Linked DNA regions of Arabidopsis thaliana. The protein of the gene in region 2 interacts with the protein of the main gene of each other region in a pairwise test. Each region holds a gene or a part of one and is shown on either strand. Other genes may lie near its edges. The genes, in order: AtRZ-1c and AT5G25490.

Region 1 (6,313 bases), 7.7 Mb from region 2:
GAGATATTCCTTGTCTCCCACACTTTCACCTGAAGATCATCAAAAGCCACAAGCCTATATAAAATTAGAGATCAACACCACTATGCATTACTATTTTACTTCTTTATATTAATAAACATATAGACAACTAAATTTATCACTTTAAAAACCAAAAATTATACGTACATGTACAACAAAAAAGCATTTCATTCTCATGGATCCCACTTATTTTTCTCCTTTTTTCAATGAAAGTGATGTCTTTTCTCCTAAATGTGATAAATTTAATTCTTTTTTATATTTACAAAACAAAAACAAGAATAGTCAAAACAGTAACAGTAATAACAAGATACTAGATAAAATATCCGTGAATTTGATCTTAAAATAACAATACAAATTGAGTAGTATAATAAAATTTAGTTATATGAAAGAAGAATAAATATTACTTGACGTTGAAGAGGGAAAAATGAAAGGTTTACAGAGAAAAAAAAAAACAAAAAATAAAATAAAGAAGCCTTGAGATATAACGAAAATGTTGGCTTTCACTTGTGACTGTAATTTTTATTCCAAACTCTTAACTATGAAATTACGTTCAAATGTATTTACGATAACTGCCTGGTCATATACATAATCAAATCAAGTTTTTAACATGTGGTTCGTGCACCACTAGTTTTCTAAAAGGTTAGGATATTAGAACATACGTCTTGAAACCCTAGCATCTATAATTCTTTGTAACCATATATTCAAAATTTATAGATACTCAAAAATTTCCTAAAAGTATTAAAATTTGTCAATAGTAAAAAGCTTCGCACACAATTATTTTGTTTGGGAAGATGAGTTATCTACCCATATCATGGCAGACAACCTGGTACCTTTGCCTCTGTCCACATTATCATAGATTATATATATTTTTGGTTTTATATTCCATTTCTCTGTATTTTATACTTTAGAATCTTATTTACACAAATTTAGTATATGATTTTTTTTTGTATCTTTAGATGTAACTTTTTGATGACATTAAATAGATGGTATATTAGGTCAAATAATCAAAGTGTAACAGTATATACTATTATAGATCTATGTCATATATGACCTATTTAATTTGTTGGAATCTCTCGAAATGTACAAAATAATATTGGTTAGGTTTAAAAATGTTTAAGCACCAACTGGATCATTATATTAAATTAATAATCCAAGTGGTATTAATTACAATTAAACTTTCTTATATGCATTTCTTATAAAACTTTCCCTCGAATCTTGAGAGTCATTTTAGTAATTCGAAAGGAAACTTAGTTTAACAAATTTTCCTATAAAGAAAAACAAAACCGATTTCCTTGTACATTTGCGGATGACTATTTCTACAATTACAGTTTATGAATTCGTTCATAAAGCCTTTTGGCCATACAAATTTTGTATACCTCCAAATTTTAAGCCATATTTAACCATCTTGCTTAAGTAATGACCGTAAAGTCAAGTACATATCTGTCCACATGGGAACATGGATGCTTCTAAGCTAGTAATTATCCACATGATGTTGCAAAGGCACCGTTTTATACATAATGCCACACATGTAAAGCCCGGAATAATATGTGATATCTTAAACCATCACATACCTCCCTAAGATTTGTATGGAAATATATAAAAATTATTATGCTACAAAAATTCATTCGTCTTGTAATGAAAAGTAAAATTGTTTAAACGTACGTTTTAGAAAAAAAAGAAGAAGAGAGAAATTGTGCTATTTACATTACTGTTTTTTTTATTTGCATTAGAAATTTTGTTACTAGGTGCAAATACACTTAAAAATGAAGAATGTGTACCAGGATAGTCGGAGTTCTGTCTTAGGATGATAAATATACAAATCCTATAGGTTGTTTTGCTCCAAAACTGTGGGCTGGTTAAAGTTAGTTTATTAGCTAGGTAATGCGTGATTAGGTCATCTACACATAGTGACTTGGATCTCACGTGGAATAAAGCTTCTGATATCTTATTTTATTGTAAAGCTAAACAATATATATTGATCAGCTAAAACATATTCGATGTAATTTTTATATGCATGTTCAAATTTTCAAGTAAAAATTGGCAAGAGATCTTATTGGGAAAAACCCTCAACTACAATTATAATTGTTTTTTTTTTTGCCTCATTACAAGCTTAAAGGATGTATTTATAGTATACAGAAAAAAGAAAAGACTTATTTTTCTGGTCGGTCATTGGTGGATCCATGAGCTTAACAGAATAAACTTATGACTTGGGCCCATAGAGAAATTTGGGCCTAGGTCTGGGCCTCTGTTGTTAATCATCAGAGCCTTTAGGCACTTGTAGTGTACCTTTCTCGTGGCGTAGTACCTCAACCACCACCATTTTAGGGTTTCTTCGTGCCATTGATATTTTGAGAGGCGAAGGAAACAATACGATTCAGAGAGAGGTAAGATGAATCTATTCGTGTAATTCTAGAATTAATATCGAGTTTAGTCGTTGGAGATTTTTTTGTTCGTTTACCTCAATTTGTTTTGTTTTCTGTGAATAGACGAGTGAAAATGGCTGCAAAAGAAGGTAGTAGGATTTTTGTCGGTGGTTTATCGCCGGAAGTGACAGATAGAGACCTTGAAAGAGCTTTTAGCCGCTTCGGAGACATTCTCGATTGTCAGGTACCAATTTGAAATTTTTGTTCTATGTTTTGTTCTTCTCTGTGTAGGTTGGTACTATTTTTATTCCTTGAGTTTATCATAGCTTGTGCCTGCACTAGTCCTATGAAATTTAGAGATTGTTATCTAAAGCTTTGTGATAAGAATTGAACATGTCTATGAATATTTTTGGAATGTTTTAAGTTGAAAGTGGTATATTTGCTTGAGCTGATCGTGAAAACATATACTTGAAAAAATGAGATTACACTAATAATACAGAAATACAGAGACGTTTGAGGATTAGTTGAAAAGTCTTGCTTTGCATTATTCCTCTTTTCACTTATTGATCTTCCCTTTTTTCTTTTTTTTCCTGGATGCTGGTAATGTATCACTGAAACACTATAGATTGATGAATTAGGGATGATATTGATCAGAGCTACATGGTTCAAGTTGAGAAACTACTCTGTGATAAAGAATTAAACTGCCTGAGATTTTAGGATATACAGTAGTGTTTGAGTTTCTGAGCAAATTGATTTCCACACTTTTGGAATGTGTTTCACAAGGTTGGGACTGTCGTAACTGGTTACTTCAGTTTCTTCTATCATCAAGGAAATTCTTTATTTTGCTCTGGAGGGATGACTGTTTTTTCGTAACTCATGATTGAGATGTGTAATTCTTGAGTTCTCTAAGTATGCCGTGACTGGGTTTTGGTTTACTTCCTGATAATGTTCCTTGTTACTGCTCTTACTAGTAATTAAATGTTTGTTTGCTGGCCTGGGATACCTGATTTGGTTTTGAGTGGTCAATTCGAGATGCTACCCAGTTTAGGCCAGAGTCTCAGTTCTTCTTCAGGTGGTGAAGATATTTAGGAACTCCTTGCAGTAGTTACGTTGTGTAGTCATATTTCTGGATAATCCCAGTCTACATTCAGTTGTCTTGCCGCAAGATTTCGTTTTCTCCTCATACCCTGAGCATCAGTGCAAGCAGTTTGGATTCTTCAGCGTAGTATGAACCTGCAGAACGGAAAATTACACTCAGTTGAAGCAGAGATCTCAAGGTTTCGGTGATCCTTTTCTTATCCAGATTTCCTACTTGTCTTTCTTGTGGGCTGTTTGCTTTACCTCATCTCGCTTCTCCTGCCATGTGTGGCTAGTAGGAGTTACATGGATTTGATCTTTTCCTTTCTCTGTTCTTCTTTTTCAGTCTTACAAATTTCCTAATTTTCTAATGCAAGCCAATTAAAATGATTCTTGTGCCTGGGCCACACATTTTCTATATCCACCAACCCCAGTTCTCTGTGCTTATCTTTTCCGGAAGTTTCTGAAACCTGATAAAGCTCTTTGTGTGAGAGGAATTCTGTATTTCTGATCTGTGGGTTGTGGTGCTATGTAAAGAATCGTCAGCTCCAGTGAATCTGAATGACTTCAGCTGGATCAATGTCAGATGATATCTGCATATTGAGTAGAAACAGATGTTTGATCAGTAATTTTGAGTACAGCTAATTAACTGACTTCCTTCTCTGTAAACCTTCCTCTCTTTAGTTTTGCAACTACATCACATGGCTGTTGAGAATAGGGATGAACTAGTATACTATCTAAGGGCTTAAATTGAGGAATTTTTCATTTTGAACTGAGAAAAAGTTGTTAGTGCTTTCTGCTACCTCTGCTTGAGATTGGAGACTTACTTTAAAGTTGATTCAGTTTCTGGGGATCTGTACTGTGTTTTGCTCTGAAGTTGAGGTTGATTGACTATTTACTACACAAAGCAGGGTCACAGTGTTATGCAGTGAACCTTAAAACGGTTGGGTGTTTCTTGATGTCACATGGGCTTGATATGATCTTTCAGATTTTGCAATCGTTTCATTTTACTACTGCCCTTCTGCTCACTTTTAGCTACACGTATGCATATATCTTTGGGAAATCAGCTTTTATGGTGTATTGTGTATAGATCATGCTGGAAAGAGATACTGGTCGTTCACGTGGATTCGGGTTTATCACTTTTGCTGATCGCCGCGCTATGGATGAGTCCATCAGAGAGATGCATGGAAGGGACTTTGGTGATCGGGTCATCTCAGTGAACAGAGCTGAACCAAAACTGGGGCGAGATGATGGAGAAAGTCATGGCTCTAGAGGTGGCAGAGACAGTGGCTACTCGATTGCTGGAAAAGGAAGCTTTGGTGGAGGTGGAGGTGGAGGTGGGCGTGTTGGTGAAGATGAATGCTTCAAGTGTGGACGGGTTGGGCACTGGGCCCGTGATTGTCCTTCTGCTGGTGGTGGTCGTGGAGGACCTGTTGGTGGTTTTTCTTCACGTGCTAGTGCGTATGGAGGATCTGATGGACGTGTTGACCGCTATGCTGACCGTGACCGCTATGTGGACCGCGAACGATACATAGATGATCGATACGACGGTGCTGCACGCTATGGTGCTAGAGACAGGTTTGACAGCAGAGAAGCCTACATACCCCGTGATCGATACGCCAGTGACAGGTTAGAATCAAGTTTCTAATGCAACTCAGATTATTGTAAGGTTATCAAAGTGACTTGCTTTTCTTACATAACTTTATTCTTATCTGTGATTTTACAGGTATGCAGCCCCGGCTGATCGGTTTGCAGGTGGTGATAGATACAGCCGTGGATCAGACCGTTATCCTCCAGGGAGCTATGACAAAGCTCGGTCCTTTGAGAGAGACATAGCCCCGAGTGCAGGCAGTGACAGGTACGGTGGTGGTAGAGCTGGTGGTCCCATCCGTGGAGGAGGAGAGGAGGGAAGAGGGTTTAGAAGCAGAGCCGGTGCTCCTTATGAGAGACCGAGCAGAAGTGGTGGTGGTGGAGCTTATCCGTCGTCGTCCACTTTTGACCGTTATTAAGACACATTAATGAAAGAAAGTGAGAATGATGCTTGGTTAGAGCTCTATACACTCAGTCGTGTGTGTTGCTTGTGGTAATGAATATCTCTGTAAGCGTTATAGGTGTAAAAGACTTGTCTTTTTTATTTATATATGATTAGTTTGCGGACCTGTTTAGCTTTGTATTTTGATCCTTTATTATTTTTGGTTTGTTTTGGACCATAACATGACTTTTGAGCTTCGTCAGTCAATGTTAAACCTTGCACACATAACTAGCCTTTTTAGTTTCATCATCAATGTACAAGAGACGAGTGTCTTAGGCATCCGCATGTTATTCTAAAATTTTGATTTATTGTTTTGTATACTGTACATATTGCTTCATATTGTCAAAATTTTCGTTTTTTCCTATAAGTTCAATCTATTACCAAATAGGCAAATAAAACGAAGCAGAATATTATTGTAGAGACAAAAGAAAAGTTGAGAAATTAATTAAAACAATAAAGAGTCCAAATCGATTGGATAATAAAAAGGCCTTAAAAGAGTAAAGAGTAAAAAAAAAAGCCACTCAAAAGTCGGAAAACAATCACATCTATAAACGTTTTCTTCACTCTCTCTGCTACTTGTCTCTCAAAAGAAATGCAATTGTGAAAGCCCTAAACTAACCGTGAAGAAGACGATGGATCGCAAGGGAAAGGGTAAACAGGTCGCCGGTAGTGATTCGTATTCCGGCGGACAGAAAAGGAAAAACTCCGTCGAATTCAGAGATGAAGGTTTGAGGATTAAGAAGCGCAAAAACCCTGAGGTTCTTCAGTTCTTCGAAGAATCAGCTGAAGTTGGCTACTACGGAGGCAGCTCCGACGAAGATGA
Region 2 (3,990 bases):
CTCTATTTTAGAGTCTCAATCGTACGTGGCAGTATAGAACGAGCGATAAAAACAAAAATATATTGAGTAGTAGATCAAGCAAAAAAAATGTAGTTAGTGTTTTGACCAAAAAAAGTGTAGTTCTAATTAGTACTGCGAGACGGAACAAACAGTACAAAAATAAGCAGGATCAAAAGTTGAATGGTAAATATGAAAAATGCGTTACTGATTTTTTTCTTTCTTACTTACATTTTGAAAACAAATTTTTAAGTATACCACCCATTACAAACAATTAAGGAAACGGTCATCGATCAGTTGCAATATTGTTGTTTATGACAAAACTTCATTGCAAAAATCTTCTTATGGGTTTTGTTCGACTGCTCGAATGTATGTGCGAAAAGATGGCCTTGAATACGCAATTTAATATATAGTGAAATCCGTATTTGTATTTAATTAAAATTAATTTTGCAACTTAATGTTACCAAGAAAATAAATTAGAATTCTAAACTAATTAATGATATATAACATAATTAATATTTTCTGATAACTATTCTCATTTTAGAGTGGAACTCATACATTTTCATTCGATTTGGTGGTAAGCTCATTATCACCAAGCCACATCATAATATGAATGCTCATGCATATTTTTTTTTGAGGCATTGGACAAAAGGTTTCGTTGTGGTCCATGCATCTACCCATTTCAAACGGTTACTAGAGTTTGTGTTTGGTTTAACGTAAAACTACATTCCTACTACAAATTATATAACAAAATTTTAATTGCATATATAATAACATTTGCATGCAATTTGGATTTGCGGCCACAGAAGAAGTTCTCAACAGCTCTCAGCCTCTCGTACGTTCAACAACTCAAGTGTTTCAAACTTAGATGAGAATCGTGATTGCGGAATCAGAAGGAAACAACTTTATCAGAAATAAGAATACATTCAAACAAACTTACATACTAGCTAGGAGACCGATATCAGAACAAAATGCTTCGGAAAACTCTCGACATGCTTACATTCTAACATAGGTCTGACTACTACGAGATATAAAACGAGTCAAATCTAAGAAATTAAACAAATCAAGAGATTAAGGGCGGTCGGTATCTTGCTTCGATTCTTCACCTTTCTGCTCTCCTCTAATGCTTCCAGAGTACTAAAAAAAATAATCAAAAAGATACGTACGTTAACGTTAAAGTACTATCGTTAGTGTATTTCACACTACTATTTAAACTTTTACGATATAATAAAGTTGTAAATGTTAACAAATTCTATCATCCAAATATATATGTCGAACTGTTTCTGATCAGAAGTTAAGACTATTGTTGAAACGAAAAGTACTTGGAAATGATGAAGAAGGTAGGAGGACTAAATGACTAATAGGGTGGTTCGGTGGCAAGTTCCTTTGGTGCGTTACACCTGAAACACTCTGACCTGCTTGCGAAGTTATGTTCGTTACAGCCTGACCTATAATATACAAATTAAACCAATCAGTTTCTACGATATGCATATACATTAATACAATTTAAACGGTCGTGTTTAGCTTACGTAAGCCAGCATGCATGTTTCTTTTTTGGCTTTAAGTTTTAACCATCAAAACATATTATTGCAAAAAAATAACATCAATACATAGAAACAATCAAACAAAAAAGTACCTTGGGCAAATCCAATCTCCAGATTTCCAAGGAGAACGGCCCGTACCACCACCACCACTACTGCTGCCGCCAAAACCAAAAAGGCCACGTCTCGGACCAACATTCATGTCCATAAACCCGGTTGTTGCAGCAGCACTTGAGCATGAAAACTCATCTTTTGCGGCACCACACTTGAAACAACTGGACCTATTGGCAAAATTATGTGTCCCACAATCCCCAAGGTTGCAATACCAATCCCCGGGTCGCACATCGGGCCCGGTGTTGAAACCGAAGGAGCTACTAACCGGACGGCCACCAAAACCGCTGAGTAAATCGGTACTGATCCCGCCCGGTCTAGGCTCTCTACAACGTTGGCATGAATCCCTCCTCTGGAAGTTGAGGTGGCTACACAATCTGCAGTTCCAATCTCCCGGCCTATTCATCTTCTTCTACAACACCATAGAAAATAATAATTAAGTAACAAATTACACAAAACTAAAGACATATGTATCTACAAATGTAACTTATATATATGTTATGATTACCTGAGGGTAATGGAAACGAAAAAGAGAGTTGAAATGAGTGTAAGAGCTTATGAAGGTGTTGTTGTACTCTCACAATATATTTATATGGACAAAGCAAAAGGCCCTTCCTTTAACAACCGGGAACATTTTTTGAAGTGAAATTAGGGTTTCAATTGGTTTTTACTTTCTTATTTTGCTACAGCTTTAATGCATTTCCCTTTAACATTTGGGTTTCTCCGTAAACTACGTTATTCCCAAAAGAAACAAATTTATCTATTTATATATATCGAGGACTTTAAATTAATTTATCATTTCTAGACCCCACTATTTTAAACAAAAAAAAGAAACACAAGGTTAAAGCTTTAGATATCAGCCGTTTTCATTTTGCGTCAGCTTCACAAAAGCTAATACTGGCAAATTCAATACCATTTACTTGACAGATGTATATATCTCCATATTTATCAACGTACGTACTTATTTTAAGACACCTAAATATTTTAAAATTAATCAAGACGTATTCTAATAGATTATTATAGTGCCAAATTATAATCCGAGTTTAAATTCGGAAGTGTGCATGCATGGGTTGTAAACGAACTTTTAATTTAAATTGAAAGATCAAAACAAAAATATGGGAGGAAAGTAATTTTAAAACACTAGTCCTAAATTCAAAGAGAAGTATTTACAAAAGAACCAAAATCTTACTGGTTGTTTATACAAGATAACAAACTAAAAAGTTTACCAGATTACATACCAAGATGACTAAAAAATATCTCTTTAATTAACTCTTGCTTTTAAAATGGTGGTGTGGAAATATAGATATGTAAACCTATATCTTTGGGGGCACGAAGGAGAGTGAATCCTATTTTATTGGTCTCGAGGTTTTATAACACTTGAATTGATAATGAATAAGAAGAACTAAACTAGAGATACTAGAAATCTCCGACTATATGGTAATATGGGTATATTAATATAGTTTTCTTGGACTTACTATATAATTTTTGACTAACATGTGGTTTCTCTATGAGACAAAATGAAATTTTCACTAAATTTCACAAACTAAACTAAAGCAAAGCAAAGAAAAGAAAAAAAGAAAAAAAAGATTCTTAGACCTTATTGGGACCCCAGTTCGTATATGCTTATAGATTTCTTGTTAACTGTATATGCACATATAGATTGACTAACGATGAGACAACTAAAGCTGATATATTCTCATTATCTATTTCGAGCATGTACCACTTTCATATTATCAATCGCAACTTCGTGGTATAACTTTTTATGTAGATAATTAATAATCACATGTATCTATATATTGATGGTCGATGGAGGAGGTACATGGATGTATAATATGCTCTTGTGTGTGTCAGGAGAAAAAGGATGTAGCATGAAGTAAAAAACTCTCTAAACTGTTAAAGCAAAAGTTGCATGGCAACAGTTTCAAGGAACGTATATGTTCCCTTAGCCGCGGAAAATTATAAACGTCAAAGGAATAACTTCTCTTTTCTTTAATTCAATTAGTCTTGTTACTAATATTCAAGTACATCCATCAGAACTTATTCGTTCGTGATTTTCAAAACAAAGACTTAAGAAAATCATGAAAAATTATAGATTAAAACAAAAACAAGAATCATTAAATGGGAGGGAAAAGGCTTTGAGGTTCGTATCTTGACCATCTACGTGTCCTTTTGATTCGTCTACTACAACTACAAGACAGTTTCATTCACTTTTTCTATTTAACCCTATGATTTTTATTTCCCTTACTATATATCCCACATACAAATTATAAATTGTCGTTTGTGGGTACACTGCAATCGCTTTTTTTACCGTCAAATCACCCTTTCCATTGTGGTATACTTG

Evidence for each region.
Region 1: the proteins of AT5G25490 (region 2) and AtRZ-1c interact in a two-hybrid assay, tested with the Arabidopsis thaliana proteins (one large-scale study listed by BioGRID).

What each region holds. Positions count from the first base shown.
Region 1 is NC_003076.8:1,189,947-1,196,259, forward strand, and holds AtRZ-1c (RNA-binding (RRM/RBD/RNP motifs) family protein with retrovirus zinc finger-like domain-containing protein), read left to right. Parts: upstream 1-2,312; 5' UTR 2,313-2,402; intron 2,403-2,504; 5' UTR 2,505-2,514; coding exon 2,515-2,625; exon of another isoform or gene 2,626-4,548; coding exon 4,549-5,087; intron 5,088-5,184; coding exon 5,185-5,467; 3' UTR 5,468-5,813; downstream 5,814-6,313. Other genes in the region: KTF1 (kow domain-containing transcription factor 1), read left to right, coding at 6,123-6,313.
Region 2 is NC_003076.8:8,874,704-8,878,693, reverse strand, and holds AT5G25490 (Ran BP2/NZF zinc finger-like superfamily protein), read right to left. Parts: upstream 2,374-3,990; 5' UTR 2,158-2,373; intron 2,062-2,157; 5' UTR 2,056-2,061; coding exon 1,634-2,055; intron 1,446-1,633; coding exon 1,355-1,445; 3' UTR 1,320-1,354; exon of another isoform or gene 1,135-1,319; 3' UTR 790-1,134; downstream 1-789.